Arabidopsis thaliana: one gene and its partners. The protein of the gene in region 1 interacts with the protein of each later gene in a pairwise test. Each region holds a gene or a part of one and is shown in the gene's direction. Other genes may lie near its edges.

Region 1 (5,670 bases):
TGAGCTCGCGGATCGTTCCGCATTATCCAAACCTGAGTCGATCTCCGACGCTGCTGTTCGTATCCGCAAGAATTACTCGTATTTCAAGGTTAATTACCTCACCGTCGCTACAGCGATCGTCGGATTCTCTCTCGTCACTCATCCTTTCTCTCTCGTCTTCCTCCTCTGTCTCCTCGCGTCGTGGCTCTTCCTCTACTTGTTCCGTCCCACGGATCAGCCGATCGTTCTATTCGGTCGTACATTCTCCGATCGTGAGACGTTAGGGTGTTTGATTTTGTTCAGTATCTTTGTGATCTTCCTCACCGATGTTGGATCTGTTCTGGTTTCGGCTATGATGATTGGTGTTGCGTTGATCTGTGCTCATGGTGCTTTTAGAGCTCCGGAAGATCTTTTCCTTGATGAGCAAGAGCCTGCTGCTACCGGATTCCTCTCTTTCCTCGGTGGTGCCGCCTCTTCAGCCGCGCCTGCTGTTATCGCCGCTCGCGTGTAAATGCGATTCCGATCTACCATTCCCTCGCCTGGGTAAATCTTTCTATATGATTCATTTGTTGAATTTGATACTTAGATTTTGTTTTTTTAATCTGAAAACAATAAACGTGAAAATGTTGTGGATCTGGCCTAATTTTGGTTCTTGTTCATGGGCAATAGCTATAGATGAAATATATATCTTTGCATGATTTTGATTTGATGAAGTTTTACTACCGTTTTGTGTTAATCTTTAGCCTTTTTTAATTTACAAGTGTTGTTTTGGAAGATATGGATTTATTTCATGATCAAATTCAAAATGCAATGGATCTGTTTATTAGAACTTGTAGCCATCTTTTGATTTGTTATGTGACTACATTGCACTGCGTGTATACAATCAAAAGAGTCAAATTTGGATGCATGTGCATGCAAGATCCATCCAAATTTCACCAGTTTTCAAAAGCACCCATCATAAGACAGACCTGGATCAGAGTCGTAGGATTTAACGAAAGGAAATTACTTCCTATTGAGGATGAGCAGCAGAACAATATCCACATTACGCATTTACGCTACTTGACTTGACTTGAAATCGTGGGTCGGAGCAAATGCGATGCACAAATAATTCGATGAGCAGCTTTAGTATTGGGCTTCGTACTCGAGTCCGGCCCAGTATAAGCTCATTTACTTCTTTTCGAGTCCAGTTCGGCAAAGGCCCAATGTCTATGAAATATCGAATTGGTGGCGTATACCCTAAGCCAACAAGGAAGCTTCGTTTTAAAAATGATTTGTTACTTACCTAAAATTAATAGTATTGGGTGACAATCCACCTTACATTCTTATCTTTTTAAGGGTTTTAGCTTACGGTATAAGTCACCAATTTGACATCTTCCATCAACGAAAATTAGTAAATTACAAAAAAGTACAAAGTCTTAGTCGCAAATATCTCTATAACCAAAAGCAAAGCAATATCCTAAGTTGTATTGACCTCGGAAACTAGAATCTCCTTGAACTTGGGATTTGTCAATGCCAGTGACTTAGAAATTGTTCTTTGCGAAGGCAAAAGCTACAGTTTGTTAGTTGGCGCGCAATTTGAGCTGGGAAGAGTCCAATGAGAGTACCAAAAGTCTCGGACTAAACGTCTTCAAAAAAGTAACCATGGAATAATAATTTATTTTTATAGTATAGTTTGAAACAAAGAAAAAAAGAAACACGTTTGTCAGAAAAGTAATAAGTGGAAGATGTCAAATTGCTGGCTTGCACCGTAAGCCAAAAAAACACTGAAAAAGTAAAATTTCAATTTAAGGTGGATTGGTGCCCAAGACTTACAATATCTATTTCTTCACGATATTTACGATAATTTTCAAAGTCTTAGCCGCAAAGAAATCTATAATGACCAAAACATATTGAAAAACAAATCCTAGCATACCAGAATCTGCCTAAACTGGGAAGTCACCACGTGTCTTGTAGCCGTACATTTAATTGTCGTAAGCACCACGCGTGTTCTCTTAGACGGTATCTAGACATGTGTTCCCACCTTAATTTCTGAAGGCTCTGGTGAATTCTAGGACAATCTATGCAGACAAAAATTTATAGTTTATTGTTTGGTTTTATGTTCGAAATTTAATAGTGATTGTACTGCGCTCCGTAATATTTTCTACAGTTTGTACGTGTTGTGTTTTTCCAATGGAAAAGGAAGATAACGGATCGAAACAGAGCTCCTCTGCTTCTGTTGTATCCTCGAGAAGACGAAGAAGAGTGGTTGAGCCAGTGGAAGCGACGTTACAGAGATGGGAGGAAGAAGGATTGGCGAGAGCTCGTAGGGTTCAAGCCAAAGGTTCGAAGAAAGGTTGTATGAGAGGAAAAGGTGGACCAGAGAATCCTGTTTGTCGGTTTAGAGGTGTTCGACAAAGGGTTTGGGGGAAATGGGTTGCTGAGATACGTGAACCAGTGAGTCACCGTGGTGCAAACTCTAGTCGTAGTAAACGGCTTTGGCTTGGCACGTTTGCTACTGCAGCTGAAGCTGCTTTGGCTTACGACAGAGCTGCTAGTGTCATGTACGGACCCTATGCCAGGTTAAATTTCCCGGAAGATTTGGGTGGGGGAAGGAAGAAGGACGAGGAGGCGGAAAGTTCGGGAGGCTATTGGTTGGAAACTAACAAAGCCGGTAATGGCGTGATTGAAACGGAAGGTGGAAAAGACTATGTAGTCTACAATGAAGACGCTATTGAGCTTGGCCATGACAAGACTCAGAATCCTATGACTGATAATGAAATAGTGAACCCAGCAGTGAAATCAGAGGAAGGTTACAGCTATGATCGATTCAAATTGGATAACGGATTGTTGTATAATGAACCTCAAAGCTCCAGTTATCACCAGGGAGGTGGATTCGATTCATATTTTGAGTATTTCAGATTCTAGCTTAGGATTTATGCTGCATCAATATACTATGACTATGAGACTATGTTTTTTACATTGTTAGTTTACTCCATTTTCATTTATCTTAACTTAAGAGTCACGCATCATACCGCAAAAAACAGTGATCCGCTTCATTCTGGCTTCTCTGGAGCAGACCATAGCATTTTCCATGGACCGGTTCTTGTCCCCAATCTGAAACATGACGCAGTATCCTTTTAAGAAAAATTTCGGATGGGTTGAAAACTTGAAACTAGAACGGTCTTTTTAATTAATTGTTTACCTCCAGGCTCCAGCAACCAACCGCAACGCCATGAAGAGGAACAAACCAGTCCAGATCCCGGCAAGGCCAAACGTTGGTGCAGCCACAAGCATGAACAAGGAAGATATGAATCCGACAATCACCTGTTCCAAAATGAGAAATAATCAACTTTTTCCAGGTGAAGAAAAGGGAGAATCAAACGACCAATTGATGAAGAAGGAAAAGGGACCATAGAATAAGCGGCAAATCCGAAGTCAGAGACACCATAATAGAGCCCATCCAAAACAAACGCTAGAGCATTCACCGGTTGAGATCCAGCCACAAACTGCATCCAGCCAACATTATTTAGATATTGTCTGAGACTACCCTTTTCAAACTCTTTCTGGATTAAAAGATAAGATCTTACTAAGGTCCCTGACAAAGCAATCTTTAAAACTTCTGAATCCGTTGTGAATAAGCTTGAAAATGGTTCGAAAGTGATGAACAATACAGCAGCCAAACCAGTTCCAGTTGCTAAACCTACCTACTTAAAAGATTGCAATTGTACATTATAACATCGAATATATAGGGTAGGATATAAACTAGGGATGTAATGAATTATGAATACGAACTTGAAGGACTCCGAAGAGAACTTCCCGGGCTTGTTTGTATTCTCCTTGAGAGTAAGTGGTGGCAAGAAGACTCTGAAAATAGAGGTAGAAAATATAAGTGAAAATCTTCTCCCCAAAAGGTAATCTTGGATCATGCTAATGGGATTCTTATATCACAGTAAATCTTGGTAGAGATTGTCTGTTTCGAAGATGATTTGCAAAAGATATTAGACCTGTGCAGCAATGGCTAAAGCATCGGTGAGTAAAGAGACAGCCAACCAGATTTCCAAGACGATTTGATGGCCAGCCATTTGAGTGGGTCCATTTTGAGCTGCTAACGAAGTAGCTAATGTGAATGGCACAAGCAAAGCCACCGTTCTACCAATGAGAAGCCCACCTAAGCATGAATCAATACATTTCATATAGTAGCCTTTCTGAATCGTTTAAAGAAAACTTGAAAATTTTAAGGAATTACCTGATTTGAGGTACTGGTTGGCTCTTCCCACTTTGATTTGAGGAGAGAGCAAAACTACATTCTCATTCAACTTCCATAGAAGAATAAATGCAATCAAGTATCTGAAGAAACGTTGACAAGTGAGAAACATAAGAAGCCACAAATTAAGATAGATATGCTTTACTAGAAAACGAGTCTATTACCACATTTTTGGACATACTCAGAAATCACAGTAGCAGCCGCAGCACCAGAGATACCAAAACCAAGGACAAATATCAGGATTGGATCCAATACCGCATTAAGTACATTCCCCGCAACTGTTGATATAGAGTTCACCATATTAGAAACATGTATGTGAAACTGCTAATGCATATATACGGTCTAGTGAGCTAATGCGCATATACTATTTATTTCCTCAGATCCATTCATGCATAAATACAAAAAAAATAGATGATTGTGCAATACTTGCCAACGGCATATAGAGGCGTTGTTGTGTCCTTGAAACCTCGAAAAGCTCCTTGCGCAGCCAATGCAACAACAATTGGTGGTGCACCATACGCTCGAAGTCTGAGGAACTGCTCTGCTGGTATCCGCATTGGTGAATCCTAAAAAAATTACAAACCGAGAAAGAAGAGCGATCAGCTATACAAAACTTCAAAGATAACAGCTTATATAAAAGAAGTTCAACGTGAGCTTAGAGACATTACAAAAGGTATAGCCATGACATCCATCAAGAAATCAGACCCGAGAGATAGCGCAATGGCCTCTGCAATACCAACTCCAGCAGCAAGAACTAATGAAGTTGAAACCGAAGGCAGCACTTTCTTGCCTTTAACACCAACAAATAAACAACAGATTCAAAGTAAAGAAACAATCTTTGAAGAAAACAATAAAAACATTTTTCATTATAAGCTTTAAGGAAAGTAAAATACTTGTTTCTATAGAATCATTATCATCCTTAGCAGCAATTGCTTGCTCCTCCGCAACAAACGATGTTGTGACATTTAGTAAAGGAACATTGAAGAGCTTCGACACCAAATTGAATACAGAAACTGACACTCCTACTGCAGCTAATTCCGCAGAACCTGTCACATTACACATATGAATGTTAAAAATGTGAACTTTCGAAAAATGTGAAATTGTTGAAACCAAGCAAAAAGTAAGTATTTACCAATATGGCCAACGAAGGCAGTGTCGACAAGAGATGTTATAGGATCAGCAGCTAAAGCTAATGCAGCAGGTAATGCAATTGACATTATCTCCATTCCAATTTTACCAATCCTAAACCCAAAAAAATCAAATACATTAGAAACCATTCAAAGTTGAATACAGAAGAAGCATTATTAGGCTAAGGTACGAACCCAGGATCCGGTTTGTGATCATGATCCGGTTTATTCTGTGAAGTCAGAGGATTCTGCTGCTTTTCCGGTCGCTGAGAAGAAGTGGAGACGGCTGGAGATTCATCGCGAGGAGATGATTTACAGACG
Region 2 (8,213 bases), on another chromosome or scaffold:
AACCCCAAAAAGAGAATACTAATCCCAGTACATTGCCCGGATTAAATCAAAGGCCAGAATTATGAAAAGCGCTAAAAGTTTACATGGTTGTGATACTATCAGAAAGCTTCCCTGCAGGTATAGATCCATTTAACTGATTTTGACTTAGGTCCCTGGAATTCATGTCCGACAACCAGAAATAGATGAGGTTAATTCGCCTTCGCTAAGGCTTGCACGACTATATAAGGAAGCGTCTAGATAAGTTATAAGACTTACAAATAACCAAGGTTCGGTATGCTGCTAAGATCAGGCACTGGCCCTTGCAAGCTGCAGTTCCTAAGACTCCTGCCCGTGGGCATACGACAAATATGCATAAGTTAGCATAGCATACACATGTATCTTATGCCCAAAAAGATCAGGAAAAAATAGAAAACGACAACCAGTATCTCTACATTTAGAATGCACTATCCTAATTAGCTCAAATATGGCTGATTACTATTCCCACAGGTTAATTCAAATCCAATGCATGACTTTCGTATTGAATTGTTGAATGCATTAATAGAAGATGACAGCCCTTCCAGCCTCACACATCAGTGATTTCAGATACATAATGAAACTATCACTTACATCTTCAAAAGTTTAGACATGTTTCCATAAGATTGTGGAATCGTAGTCCCGTCAAAGTGATTGTTATCTAATTGTCTGCCAAAATAAACATGAGGAAAAAGGTCAAAAAAAAGAAAAGAAGAAACACATGGGTAACCAGTCCTTATGGTGACAGGACCAGGGAAATCAACAGAAACTGTGACATAAACTTACAGGATAAGTAAACGCGGCATGTTTGATAACTCAGGGGGAAGATAGCCTGATAAATTGTTGTTATCAAGAAGGCTGTAAGAAAAAAGAAAAAAAAAAGTAAATGTTCATAAACATTGAATAGGTAAAGCGTGTGTAGCATGTTCTAGACATGAAAACTGAGTTTAGGTAAAAAACATAGCATTTTTCAAGTAAAATCATTTAAGCCTGCTACTGCTACCAACTCACATGTGAACAATGGATGGTAGGCTTCCAAGCTCTGGTGGTATCTGCCCGCTAATAGAATTATTGTTCATGTGACTGGAAAAAGATAAGATTGACCAAAAAAAAGCAATAAATGTAACATATTCAAGGGGAGAAGGAATCACCATATTGAAACAGCCAAGTACAACTCGACACCAGATTAAAGAACTCACAAGTGCTTCGTTTTGTTTAAGTTTGCAAAAGATTTGGGAAGTGGTCCTGATATACGGTTTTCATCAATCTGTATTCTGTCCAAGTTTGGAAGAAACCCTAGCTCCTCTGGTAAGTTTCCATTTAACAGATTTCCATTCAGGAGCCTGGAAAAGTGAAGTTAGCAGCCAATCCCAAAGCAAATAAAGCAGGGAAGTAAACAACAAAGTCCTGGACTAACAAGAGTTCTAAGGACTTGATATTCCCAATTTCCTTTGGTATACTTCCGGTGATCTTATTCCACATGAAACTCCTGGCATTAGAGAAGAAGTTGTACAATACAAAAAGAAAGTTATTCACCATTGAGTATGACAAAAGATCAAGCAACATATCGTGTTAAAAACACGTACAGGATAGTAAGACGAGACAACCGGCCAAGCTCCGGAGACAAGTTCCCTGAGAGATTCATACTGAACAATTGCCTACAAGTATAAACAAAGCTAACTCAAACAAATCTCAAGGAAGACCAAATAAAAGAAAAAAGCAAGAGTGAAGAAGACAATACAATTCGCTGACATGAAGATAACCATCATCAAGAGTGGAGTTGAAGCAGACAACACCAGTCCAATTCGAATTGCACGGGTCTCCATGCTTCCAATTTCTCAATCTATGAACAGGATCGTTCAAACTTTCTTTGATCACTCGCAAAGCCCTCACTAAAACCAAAAAAAACATCAATGATCAGTACCAAATCAGTCGAAAGCTAAGAAAACCCATTGTCACAGACACAAATTGTCTGAAGATCTAACACCAAAGACAAAGCCTTTTAACAACAACAACAACAAAAAAGAAACCTTCAACGGGATTGGTGATGTCGTCTTGAGCAAAAGTAGAAGAAAAGCAACAGAAGAGGAAGAAGAAGAGCAGAGGTATGAGGAGACGAGAGACATGATGGGTCGAAAACATATCGAGAGAGGAGGAAACAGAGGAGACCCAAGGAAAAAACGAAATCTCGAGAGAGAGAGAGTTTAGAAGGAAAAGGCCATGACCAAGTAAGAAACACAAGACAAAGAAAGAGGAAAGTAGTTGGTATTGGGTGGGAGCATTGAAGAGTGATAATACGACATTTTCTAAGTTTGACTATTTCAGGTAATGGATGAGACCGACGGAAGAGCGTCATCATAAGTTTCCGTTGCGCCGCCGCCATAACTTCACCACCTTCTTCCGTCAAAACCATTCTACTTGCTATTTTTCTTCCTTTGTTTAATGATTCCTTGTCTGACCTGTCTTTGACCTTTTTGTCGTTTTTTTAATCCTTTTTTAATGACAGTAGGTAAATCTCTTGCCAGGTGCGATGAATTTCCAAATATTGTCAATAAAGTTACCTTTTTATCCCACCTTGATTTTTTTTTTATGTATTAATTAAAATTTAAAAACGTATACCATTAGCAAATAGTAGCAATCATTGGTATATTGGAATCATATAGTATATGGCAATTTGGTCATCGATATCGTATCTTTATGTGCATTTTGGCCCCCACGATACTAAAAGTCACGAAATTTTCCAAAGTATCGACTTTTATTGGAAAATGGTGCTGATTATCAACTGATTTGTAGAAGTGTGATTAATTACCTGTAGTCATTATGATTTTCTTGAACAAAAAAAGAAGAAACAGAAGATGTATGTCACTATGTCGTATCATTACGAGAGGGAAAAAAAAGAAACAGCTGGAATAAATTACTCAAATAAGAAAAGAAATACAATGGGCACTATTAAAAAGCATAGACATGAGCTATATATTATTTATGTTTAGAGAAGAACTTTCCAACAGAATTTGGTTTTAAAAAATACCCGTTAGGTGACAATAAATGGGAGAAACTATATCTTAAGTATGTTCATTATTTATATATAAAAAAAGGGAGAATCACAATTCACAAGTATGTTGATAAATAATAATAAAACAAAAAAAAAAAAGACAAAAGAAACTTTAGCTGGTAAAAGTAAGCATCATTAGGTTTTTAATTTGAATCACTATTAAATGATGCCGGTCCACTACTTGCGTTTAAGACAATTTAGAGAGACTTAACTAAAAAACTTATTACTTAAAGCGATCAATACGACCATCTTTTTAATTATTTTGACCGGTAAACAAAGTGATGCCCAATTGCCAATTTAAGAGAAGGCCCAAAACATCCTCCTGTCCACTACAGGCGCATTATATGCTCGAGGATTTCTTAAAACAAAACAATACTTGTCTTCTTGTATGGGCCTGATAATTAAGGCCTCCGTATGATTTAGATCCAACCAATAAGTATTTTTCACTATAAGTGAATTTTACTTGTTTCCCAATCCATAGATAGTTCCATACCAAGTTACCAACTTATTATCCCACAAAACATTCTCTCAGACTCTCAGTTCATACAAGGCTTTCTGCCTATTTTTTACTTGTTAAAATTTTGACTCAAAGATACAAAAATATACACTCAGACGTGGGGAGATGTAATGCCATAACAGCTTAAATTAATAAATTTCGTTGAAGCAACTACAGAATCTTGTAATGAATGCTACAAAGAAGATTTAAAGTTAAACAAATTTAAATCATGAAATCGAATAATTAAATAAAATACAAAGAAAAAGGAAAAAAAAATAAAAAAAAAAGGGAGGGAGACAAGATGCTGCGATGGTTCACGTGCCAATGTGCCTTTTACTTTTCATCAACTAGTTTTCTTTTTAATTATTAATAAATCAACTCAATTTCGCAATTTTATAGTTAGTGACGTCACTTCTCTCTCCTCACAGAGTCGAGTTTCTCTCCTACGCTCTTCATTTCATTTCATTTGATAGAGAGAGAGAGAGAGAGAGAGAGAGAGAAAGAGCTTCGTCTTCTTCATCTCCATCATTATCTCCATTGACATTGTTCTCAATTGCGAATAATAATCATAATTATTCACACAACCAAAGCATTCATCTCTCAGATTCTCTTAAAAAAATGGAGAAATCAGATCCTCCACCAGTCCCAAAGCCCGGCGCCACTATTATCCCCTCCTCCGATCCAATTCCTAATGCCGATCCGATTCCATCTTCTTCCTTCCACCGCCGATCTCGCTCCGACGATATGTCCATGTTCATGTTCATGGATCCCCTCTCCTCCGCCGCACCACCTTCCTCCGACGACCTTCCCTCCGACGACGATCTCTTCTCTTCTTTCATCGATGTCGATAGCCTCACCTCTAATCCCAATCCCTTTCAAAATCCTTCCCTCTCCTCCAACTCCGTTTCCGGCGCTGCTAATCCTCCTCCTCCTCCTTCCTCTCGTCCTCGCCACCGTCACAGCAATTCCGTTGACGCTGGATGCGCCATGTATGCCGGTGATATCATGGACGCTAAGAAAGCTATGCCTCCTGAAAAACTCTCTGAGCTTTGGAACATCGATCCCAAACGCGCCAAAAGGTCCTTCTTCTTCTTCTTCAAATTTGTTTCTCTTTCCACAGAATTGAAGAATTGCAATGAAATTAGGGATTTGATTACAGGATTCTAGCGAATCGACAATCTGCAGCTCGATCCAAAGAGAGAAAAGCTCGATACATTCAAGAACTTGAGCGCAAAGTTCAATCTCTTCAAACCGAAGCTACCACTCTCTCTGCTCAGCTTACTCTCTACCAGGTTTCCATATTCGGCGATTCCTCGTTTGATCCCAACAGAATAGGAAAGTTCTTTCCTCTGTTTTACATACATAGACAGATCTTGATTTCAATGTTGTTTTGATTGATCCAGAGAGACACAAATGGACTAGCAAACGAAAACACAGAGCTGAAACTTAGGTTGCAAGCAATGGAACAACAAGCTCAGCTTCGTAATGGTAAGCACAAAAAAAAAAGAAGCTAATTTCTTTGTATGCATTTTGGTGCATTTCTTCAATATTTGCTTTTTGATGTTACAGCTTTAAACGAAGCGTTGAGGAAAGAAGTTGAAAGGATGAAGATGGAGACAGGAGAAATCTCTGGTAATTCAGATTCGTTTGATATGGGAATGCAGCAGATTCAGTATTCTTCCTCAACTTTCATGGCTATTCCACCATATCATGGCTCAATGAACCTCCATGATATGCAGATGCATTCTAGTTTCAATCCTATGGAGATGTCCAATTCTCAAAGCGTGTCGGACTTTCTACAGAACGGCCGAATGCAAGGGCTGGAGATTAGTAGCAATAGCTCAAGCTTAGTCAAATCTGAAGGACCTTCTCTCTCTGCTAGTGAGAGTAGCTCTGCCTATTGACGACAAGATTATGATGAGGCTCATTTTTCTGTTAATAGGTTTTTTTTTTTTTCAATTCATTTGATTCACTTTTGATTATTTATTCTTTCTTTTTTTTGAGGTGCCATTGTGCAAGAAAGGACGTACGTATACATTTGTGTTGGTTATGTGTCGTGAGTTTCGTTGTTTGCTATTCCCATTGTTTGTTCTTCAAGGAACAAAGGAGACTAATAAATTTCATTTTTCTTTTGTATACAATGATGTTTGCTACGTTTTGTTTTATTTTACTAGGAGATGGAGATGTTTAATAAGTTCATTCCAATTGGGTTAATAGTTTGATTTTGGGATCAATGATTTTGATACGACAACACCAAGGCAGTTCCTCAGTAGCTTCTTCTCCAAGACACCCTCACATCCGTCATCCCATTAGAGTTTTGAGACAACTTCTCCCAACCGGACTTCTCCATGAGACAAAATTTCCCAAACTTGGAGTCGGAGTTGAAATGAGAGACGAAGCATTGAGAGATTAGTTTTTGAGACTCTGTAAGACTGTTAACGAAAATATTCGACCTTTGAAAGACATCTAACACGATTCAACCTTTAAGCAAAGACCCATTGTTGGAGAGAACCAACAAAAGTTCCAACCTTTCCAAACTGAGCTAGCAAGAACAATAGAACATGCATAACAATAAGAACGTGGAGAGTTTAGAACATTGTTACCATGTTATCAGACGAAACATCTACTCTCTGGACTGTGGACGTCCTTGGAGAAGCTCGGTCTATTTCGCAAAATAACTTCCAAAAAAAAAAGGAGAGAGCTCAGAATGGGGCAATATCAACTGATATTCAGTAGAATGCATTGGACCCAACCAATGCTAAAGCCAATTTCTTCACAGCTCATGCACCAGCCGGGAATCGAACCCGGGTCTGTACCGTGGCAGGGTACTATTCTACCACTAGACCACTGGTGCTTTGATGACAATTGTTTTGTTTTAATATCTGATATACAATAAAACCACATTTAAACCAATAGGCCCTATTTGATGGCGATACGTAATTTTATTTTTTGGGCTTTTTCATCTTTTGCCAGTGGGAATTTGTGAATTGTGAGTGTTTGTTTCTAACTTTCTATGAAATCGAAATTTGAGAAAATTGTGAGAAATTCAAGAGAATACATGTAAACTAGGGTTCAACAAGTAAATTGCCCCCACAAAACTATGCCAAAAAATGAAAAAACAAAACAAAACATGCCGATAGACAAATTCTAATCCGTATGAAGCCTCGATGTATCTTGAGCACAATATAAATATTTGATTAAATAGAAGCATTTGGGAAGACAACGAGAGATTAGTGTTTGGCTAAAAGAAAAAAAAACGAAACAGAATCCATTTTGTTAATTAGGTTGTGGTCAAACTCAACCCAACTAAGTTAACGACTAATTATTTAAAGATAATACTGATTAATTAAGAAATATCAACGAAGCTTCGGGCGAACCTTAAGAGAGAGATGACGTATGTGCTGCGGTCATTCACTTTCTTTATAGTTTTCCACATACACACTCCTGCGCCCGGTCCCAGAGCCTTTACCTTGTTACGTCTCTAGTTCATAACTACATGTCTACCATGTATTATAGGGATATCAAAATGGTCTATACATGATTCATTATTTCATATATCTAGGTTATATATTATTTTCTTATAGTTGATTTATAAACACCAAAATATCTTTAGCAAATGTTAATATGTGACAACTGACAAGAAACATAGGTTGTGCTAATGTCTTTACTTTAAAATTCAAATCGGCTTAAAAAATTATGTTCTTACGAGCAAAAGATTGAAAAAAAAACGATGAAATTTATCGTGTGCTTTTATTAATTGTACATCTAAAAATGTATTAAACAATTTTGCTCAGTACAACAAAATTCACAATTGTAATTTTGTGAAATACCCACTCCACCATCTTTTTATCAGATAATTCTAATTTATTTTTGTCAATGTTATAGCCATTTTTGATACTTGCGTATTTAATTATGGGATATTATGAATAGAAATTGTATATTTAAAGGCCCATTTTTGGCCCTAAATGTAATTGATGACTCAACTCAACCAACAACAAGAAGAAGAAGACTCTCTCTGCTTTCGACCAAAACCTTCTCCTCTCCTCTGGGAGATCTCCATCTTCTTCGCTTCTTCGCTTCCCCGCCTGAAACAATTACTCGATCTCGCCGGCGGAACAAGCTCTCCGTTTCTCTTTCCGGCAGATCGATTCTTCCAATTCCTTATTCCTTTCTAGGTCTTCCTTAAGAAACCCTTACTTTCTTCAAAATCTGCATTTATGGCGATTAGGGTTACCTTCACCTACTCCAGCTATGTTGCTAGGAGCATTGCTTCATCCGCCGGGACTCGTGTCGGTACCGGCGACGTTAGATCATGCTTCGAAACATGGGTTCGTCCCAGGTTCTGCGGCCACAATCAGATACCAGATATTGTTGATAAATCTCCCGGATCCAACACATGGGGTCCAAGCTCAGGCCCTCGTGCTCGACCAGCTTCATCAATGTATAGCACCATTGCGAGGGAAATCCTCGAAGAAGGCTGCAAGAGTCCACTTGTCTTGGGTATGATCTCTCTCATGAATTTGACTGGAGCTCCACAGTTTTCGGGTATGACCGGTCTCGGGATCTCTCCCTTTAAGACTTCTTCTGTCATCCCGTTCCTTAGGGGTTCCAAGTGGATGCCTTGTAGTATTCCGGCGACGTTATCAACGGATA
Region 3 (7,870 bases), on another chromosome or scaffold:
AATTTAAAGAGTAAATTAATTCATCTCTTTAAGAATTAAAAAGTCAAATACTAATTTAATTAATTAAACTTAATTAAAAACGAAATACATTATTAATTTCCAAAAAAGTAACCAATTAAAATCAACAAATTGGATTTGATATCTAAATTATCATATTAATTTTTTTATTAATTATTATAGTTCACTTCTCATCTTTATATGATTCTATTTTTGCGAAAAATAATATCATCGCTATAAAAAAATAATTAGAATTTTTTCGCATATGCCATAATTTAAATTTTTAAAAACGAATATAAACTATTCAATACATGAAACAATATTATAACGGGTCAAAAATAGATTTAAGAAAACTTTCTACTGAGTACTGGGTCATAATATGAATATTTATATTCAATTTCATATATATTGTTTTGAAAATTTATAATCTTATATACTACAATAATTAATAACATATTAGATTTTTTTATGTGTATGATGTGATTCAATTTTTAATACAAGCTGGAAAATCCTAGAATTGACGGGTTTAGATCGATATTAATACAAGATGGTATACTACAGGTGAAACTCTAAAATTAACAATCAAAATACAAGTGTATAATTTTAAACACTAAACAATATAAATAATATCAACAAAACATATACAACTCGTAGTTTATTATACATTTAAAATCAAATAAAATAATATCGTATATTTATAATCATCTTTACAATAAAAGTTTTTAGTTTAACTAAAATATAAGCTTACATGCGGTATACTGCAAGTTAAAATTATAAATAAGCAAATTACCATCACGATGTTTGTACCTTCTCACATACACACCTATCAAAAACTTAAAACCTTTCAAGACCTCTTGGTATATTCAAATTAGGATTTCTTCATTCATGGAATCATTCTTCCAAGGGTTTTAGGATGTCCCATGAAATGATTTTGGCAGAAGAGGATGTAAAACTTTTCGAATAAAACGTAGACAGCAAAACATATGTTTTTTTGGGAGTTTTTAGATAATTAAATCAGAGAATGGGGCTGGGCATATGAGTAACCTATTCAAGTTCGGGTAGAACCCGTTCGGGTAGAACCCGTTCGGGTTTGGGATTAATGGGTATATGATTTACTACCCAATAGAATAATTCTAAATATTTGGTTCTGGTTCGGGTCGGGTCCATTTGGGTTTGCGTCAGTTTGGATAAAAAGTTTCAGGCCCTAAAAATACCCAAAAAAATTGAAACGGGTATTTTGTATGTAGATAGTGGGTCTCCAAACAAAAAAAACTTTTAGATTTGTTAAGTTTTAATAAATTTAATTATATTTGAATATATTTTACTAAATTTTGACAAACATAACACATAATTTTTGAATAGTTTAGTTGTTTTGGATATTTAGGTCCAAAATTAATTGACATATTTAGATTTATAATTATAATTTTAGATAATTAGATTATATTACGATTAAATATAATTAATATTTTGGATATTAAATTAATGTTTGGGTTTTTGAATACCCTCTTTGGATAAAGGGTAATTTCTGGACCAATCGGATATCCACGGGTTTACTAAAACTCTACCTAATAAGGAAATTTCCTAAAATTCTAACCCGCTCTAACCCGGTTTTTTGGTTCGGATAATGGATTGGTTATCGGGTCTGTTTTTTCGTGAGCCCTATCAAAGATAATCTAATATAGGGCCCAATTAGGTTCACAAATATAACCAAAACATTATACAAAAACTAATTTTAAGTTAGGCCAAAAATTAGATCTTTTAATACAAAGGAAACATGTTTCTTACTAGAACAACTTGTATACAAATTTTACACATTTACTTAAAATTATATATGTTGTATTTATTATAAAAATAATATTTTTAAACAAATTCAATCCAATGCAGCATTATATCCAAATAGTAAAAACATTGAAAAATATTATGACAACACTTTTATATTATACTATTTCTTATGTAATTCAAATAAAGTATACAATTTAGTTTATACACAATATTAATGTCCGTGCTATACAGCACGGGTTATGATCTAGTAATGATGTAATACACAACCTTATGTGGGAAACCAACAACAAGTAAACTATATATCAATTCAAATGACAGATTCACTGCTACACCACAGTTAAAAACAATCAATCATTTCTCATCGAAATAAATCTGCCATCAAATAATTCCAATGAGTTTTTTTTTTTTTGGATAAAATTCCAAAGAGGTTACTAGTGTGCATAACTCCACGTGGTAAGTAAACCCATAGTGGATGAATGTTATGTCTGCAATTGATAATATGTCAATTTTGGGTTAATTAGTTTTTAGTAATTTTTTACCAATAAAATTATTCCACTTTTAGAAAATAATCACTGCAGATTTGTAACTTTCGTTCACTTTGAAAACTTTTATTGAATTGAATAAATTTAGCTAATCATGTTAACTATTAGATTATAATAAGGCCCAAAAACACTTAGATGAACCCGGTTAGTGGTTAATACTTTTACTATATGATACTTAATTACTTACCGATAGCATTGACAGATTAAAAAATACACAAAAGCTTTGTCAAACAAAGAGATTTGAAAGACGAATCAAATCTCTCTACATACAGGGAAAATTATGAATAGCTACATGTCACCATCTGTTTAAAGTAAGATCCAATGTTCTCATCTGTATCTTTTGACTATGATTGATGACTATGTGACCTATATCATATAAATACAACGTGGTAAATTGTTATACTCATTAAGCTACCATAGTCCATAATACACTTTAATTTCCCAATTCACGATTTCACATTACTCACTAATCTAACATTTTATGATCAATCTATTGAGTATTGAGGATTGATGAAACAAAGAACGAAGGTATACTTAAATGGAGATGTCATATAACTCAGAAAGAACTTCACATATACATTTATTAAAGGAAAATTAGTTTTCTTATGAAAATAATTAGCCATTAATTAGAAACTGAAAACTCTTAATTAGCTTTTTCCCATTTTTGTGTCGGCCATATGTAACGTTGGACCCATCAACTAGGTCACAATTGGCATACGACAAATATACATAACTTTAAACCATTAGATCTTTTCTCTTTCATTACAAGCTAAAGTAATTCAAATTTAGCTAAATAAATTTAAACTAAAACTTTGGAAATGTGGTTTAGATTGTTATCAAAAGCTTAAGTGGGTTTGATCTTGCCGATGTGGCTTCCAAAAGAAAAGTATTAATTGGTTGAAGAAAGTGACTTTTGTCATGCAACCTAGTTGTATGTCATGATGTGAAATTAAGTGGGAAACCAAAATTCATATTGACAAATCCACTAAACTCTTTAGATGATAAAGTAGAAGAGCGTGTGGAAGTTTCAAATATCATTTCCTTTAAGATTACACAACAAGAGAAAGGTTGATCCATCATAAAGACGAAATATTCTTTAAGTCATATACATGGTCTACAATTTCTCACTAAGATACAAAGTAAAATCGATAAATATAATAATGAACGTACGAGTGGTTTCCAAGTTGTTCTAACCAGGTGCTTTGTCAAGATCATCGATCTATATTCTTACCCGAAATACTTACTTAACTATTATTACAAAGTTCGAATAACCAGTTCTTTTACTTTGTGATTAGTTTGAGCTTTGGTTTGACTCAATAGAAGACAAAAGAAAGAATAGATGAAGGAGAGGACCACACGAGAAGCCAAAGGAGACAGAAATGGTCACTTACCTCGTGGAGTTATACAAAAGTAGACATAAACAGACCTGAACAAATTTGGATGGTCCATGAACAGTACTCTTCCTTTTCAATTTTTATTGTCATCTTTCTCTTCTGTCATTTCATCATGATGTACTTACTATTTTGAGAAACTGCTTCGTTTTCCATTGTCTTTTCGATCCCTTAACTTCTTTTAGAAAATGTTCATACTTAAAATATTAAAGGATTCCTTAACATGCACTACAAAAAAAAAATTATTATGGATTGTGGATTACCAATGGTATAGTACTCATTTGGTTTACTTAGATATTTGGTCATTCATAAACTGAAAATCTAGAAACCCAAATAAATCTGAACCGGAATCAAAGCGAAATTTAAATTCTACACACTTAATGTATTTGTTGGACTATTGAAGGAGGAAGCAGCCAAAAAGGGTAAGAGTCATATATATAGATAGAGGTATTTAGATGGTGGAGTTCCAATCAACTAGCTTTAAAGTGTTTTGTGAGAAGGGTGTGACAGCAAACCAAACCTACCTATCGCTCTCATCATAGTACTTTGGTCCACTTATTACAAAACCCTAAGAAAATGTTCTAGTGTAGGGTCTTTGTTTCCTTTGTCTATTCCTTTCTAATACCATCTACTTCTGCTCCCATTCACTGATATAAACCTCTTCTCATAGCTATTATTGATAGAAAGAGACAGAGAAAGAGAAAGAAAAAAATCATCTCCTGAAAAAATCTATCCCTTTTTAGCTCTCATGGACGCTTCAATAGTTTCCTCATCCACTGCTTTTCCATATCAAGATTCTCTAAACCAGAGCATCGAAGACGAAGAAAGAGACGTTCATAATTCTAGTCACGAACTCAATCTCATCGACTGCATAGACGACACAACGAGTATCGTTAACGAATCTACAACATCCACAGAACAAAAGCTTTTCTCATGCAACTATTGTCAAAGAACTTTCTATAGCTCACAAGCACTTGGTGGTCACCAAAACGCACACAAGAGAGAGAGAACGTTGGCGAAGAGAGGACAACGTATGGCAGCGTCAGCCTCAGCTTTTGGACATCCTTACGGTTTCTCTCCACTTCCTTTCCACGGACAGTACAACAACCATAGGTCTTTAGGGATCCAAGCGCATTCGATAAGCCACAAGCTAAGTTCTTATAACGGGTTTGGTGGTCACTATGGTCAGATCAACTGGTCAAGACTTCCATTTGATCAACAACCAGCCATAGGTAAATTTCCCTCAATGGATAATTTTCATCATCATCATCATCAGATGATGATGATGGCTCCTTCAGTAAATTCACGGTCCAATAACATCGATAGCCCAAGCAACACAGGACGGGTTCTAGAAGGGTCACCGACTCTTGAACAATGGCACGGAGACAAAGGATTGTTGTTAAGTACAAGTCATCATGAAGAGCAGCAGAAACTTGACTTGTCCCTCAAGCTTTGAGATTCTTTTTCTTGATTCTTGAATTTAGTGTCTTTTTACTGTTTTTTCATGTGATTGTTAGTACTATTTTGTGTATATTTTTTTCTAGTAAAGATAATCTAATGTACATCTTTTTCACATATCTACTTTAGTCTGAGATTTGTAAACTATTAACTATACATTAATGGATTTCAAGTAGACATCCAACAACCGTATAAAGTATAGAGTAAAGGAAAAAAGAGAAGAAAAGTGAATATTGAGATCTGTGGGAAGATTTGATTTCAGAGTCACAAGAAAAAGGAATTAATATTATAATTCAAAGTTAGGTTACCTAAAAGTTAGAACAATCATTCTATTTGTTTAAAAGTTGCTAATAAGACATTTAAACAGAACAAAACAGATAGAAATAAACTATGAAGACAGTTGCTGTGTAGGATGATTGTGACACTAAAAGCAAAAGAGTACTAGAAGAAAAATTAAACACAATATCAAATACAATTCTTTGGTAGTATATACCAAAATACATGTAACGTTAAATAAACTAATAAAGCATCCAATGGGGTTCTCTTTGTTAGAGATTATTAGAAGGGCATCACATTGCTCCATATGTAAGAAAACATTAAAAGACAAAACTTGTCATAGATGTTGCTATCATCACTTCACGCGTGTTTTCGACAAATGGTCGAAACAGTATTCACCAAATAACCAAGAACTTCTCTCGACTAGCTAATCGACAAACCAATCAGATCAAGAACAAGCCAAGATCGTAAGTAGAAACCGAAGCAAACTATAAATGAACACTCACTATGATCTTTGAGAGTTACAAGAGAATTGAATAAAAAAAAAAATCATCATCATCTATCGAGCTCAATCTTGGCTCTTGAAACAGAGAAGGTAATTGTTTTAATAAAGTACTCCCAAAAATGAGAACACACACACTCTCCCTTAACAAGCTGCTTAACCACGATATTGAGCTTGTTTAGCTCTAGAATTAACCCTAAACCGGTTTAAACTTAAACATATCTTACATATTTGAATTAAACAAGGGTCTGTGATTGTCATATCTTTCTTTTTTTTTCATCAGTAACCATGATTTATTCGAGGAAAGAAATATTTGTTTGTATCCATCAAGAAGAAAAAGTGTCAGATAGTGAACCAAAAGTGACACAGTTCCATAAATAAATCAAAGAAAAACAAAGTTAGACAAGCACACATGGTACCATGCAGACCATGCATATATAATGTAACCAACCTGATGAGCCCTTCAATTTATCTTCATCAGTTTGGCCCCAAAACATGTCCTACTTACACTTGCCTGAAGACATGACTTATATATATATAAGTTAAGCCTCACCAAATATGAAATAGGATTTTATTATTGGTTACATATATAGAGCAAAGCGTCTCTAATCTTGGGCCACAAGCCCCATAGCTGAAAATGACTAAGCCGAAAACGACATTCTCCGACAGTTTTGAAGGTCCAGTGAAGGATGGTCCAATGGATTCTTAAATTACTAAATTTCTAATTTTTCGGAGGTATGAATTTGCAGATTTTTGGAGTTGCCGGTAAAATCACGTAACGCAGCTCAATCGTTCTTTGTTAGTGGGATATGACCGTTATAGACCCTTCATTTACATATCAAAGTAAGATATTATTTTTTCGGATGATTTATTATATTGAATGGAGAGAGTTTTTTGCTCATTATAAATTAAGATGTTATGTTACATGTTTTGACTAACTTTAAACGCGTAAATAATTGTTTATGTTAGTGTTGTTGTTGTATCACCACCACTTGAATTTAATTGAACTCGTATATTTCATTTCATTGTTAAAAAAGGTATCAGTTAATAATATTTTGCATCTAATATTTATATATGTTGCCGGTTAATTTTAGTCCTTTGTATAGTTGTGTGTGTACGAAGATGCCTGTCGTCGAGGAGGACATTATATGTTCGTTGGTTCAATAATAGCTTTGACAAAAACATCCGATTTTGGGAAGTAAACAGCTAAACACCCACAATGTCCACACCACGATTAATTACATATATATATGCTAAAAAAGAAATAAAATTATCTTTTCAAAAATCTCTAATGCTCGAATCATAATGAAAACAATGTACATAGTCGAAGAAACAACAAAGAAATAACGAAGAGAATGTCGGTTTTGAATTAGGTCGTCCACAACTCAATATGTTATATGTGATCTTAGAAAAGGAGCGAGATACTGAAGATAGACTTCTCCGGTAAACATTTTTTTTTAATGTAATGTTAAATTATATTATAAAAAAAAATTGGTACTCTGGTGAACATTGAAGTTCTTTTCAGCAGGATAATCAAAGGAAAAGAGGTTTGAAGAAGAAAAAAAATTGGTACTCTAGAAAAGTGTGATGACCAAGACCTACTCTATATCAATATATGGATCCCTTTCATTGTGCAAGGTGGAAAAATTATGGACTAAGAGAGTTTTTGGAGACTCTATTTGGAAGAAAATATAGTTAATCATTTAGTATTCAAGAAAGATTAAGAACACAAGTATAAAATAATAACTCTCTTTTATTATCTTTAGAAACTCTCTCAAAACCTAAAGTCTCAATCTCTCTCAAATCTCATAAGTTGTATCACAACATTGATACCTCCTTATATAACAAAGCTTTAACCTTACCCTAATGATTAGATAATTCTTAATATCATAAGATAACTCCAATAATATATTCTAGATATC

The links.
Region 2: the proteins of DREB19 (region 1) and bZIP52 interact in a two-hybrid assay, tested with the Arabidopsis thaliana proteins (one large-scale study listed by BioGRID).
Region 3: the proteins of DREB19 (region 1) and ZFP3 interact in a two-hybrid assay, tested with the Arabidopsis thaliana proteins (one large-scale study listed by BioGRID).

The regions. Positions count from the first base shown.
Region 1 is NC_003071.7:16,064,660-16,070,329, reverse strand, and holds DREB19 (Integrase-type DNA-binding superfamily protein), read left to right. Parts: upstream 1-1,714; 5' UTR 1,715-1,938; coding exon of another isoform or gene 1,939-1,989; intron 1,990-2,038; 5' UTR 2,039-2,148; coding exon 2,149-2,883; 3' UTR 2,884-2,934; downstream 2,935-5,670. Other genes in the region: PRA1.B4 (prenylated RAB acceptor 1.B4), read left to right, coding at 1-490; AT2G38350 (uncharacterized protein), read right to left, coding at 1,022-1,261, 1,939-1,989; AT2G38330 (MATE efflux family protein), read right to left, coding at 3,012-3,072, 3,161-3,282, 3,369-3,464, 3,546-3,662, 3,751-3,822, 3,963-4,126, 4,205-4,305, 4,404-4,500 and 5 more. UniProt on the Arabidopsis thaliana protein: Transcriptional activator that binds specifically to the DNA sequence 5'-[AG]CCGAC-3'. Binding to the C-repeat/DRE element mediates abscisic acid-inducible transcription. Involved in the regulation of plant development and tolerance to abiotic stresses.
Region 2 is NC_003070.9:2,101,055-2,109,267, forward strand, and holds bZIP52 (basic leucine-zipper 52), read left to right. Parts: upstream 1-3,993; 5' UTR 3,994-4,178; coding exon 4,179-4,639; intron 4,640-4,719; coding exon 4,720-4,852; coding exon of another isoform or gene 4,853-4,954; intron 4,955-4,963; coding exon 4,964-5,048; intron 5,049-5,129; coding exon 5,130-5,464; 3' UTR 5,465-5,695; downstream 5,696-8,213. Other genes in the region: AT1G06840 (Leucine-rich repeat protein kinase family protein), read right to left, coding at 84-152, 256-324, 607-681, 799-870, 1,024-1,095, 1,212-1,355, 1,430-1,501, 1,599-1,670 and 2 more; Plsp2A (Peptidase S24/S26A/S26B/S26C family protein), read left to right, coding at 7,778-8,213.
Region 3 is NC_003076.8:8,683,064-8,690,933, forward strand, and holds ZFP3 (zinc finger protein 3), read left to right. Parts: upstream 1-4,124; 5' UTR 4,125-4,460; coding exon 4,461-5,168; 3' UTR 5,169-5,352; downstream 5,353-7,870. UniProt on the Arabidopsis thaliana protein: Acts as a negative regulator of abscisic acid (ABA) signaling during germination and early seedling development. Involved in the regulation of vegetative development and fertility. Modulates red light signaling in seedling photomorphogenesis.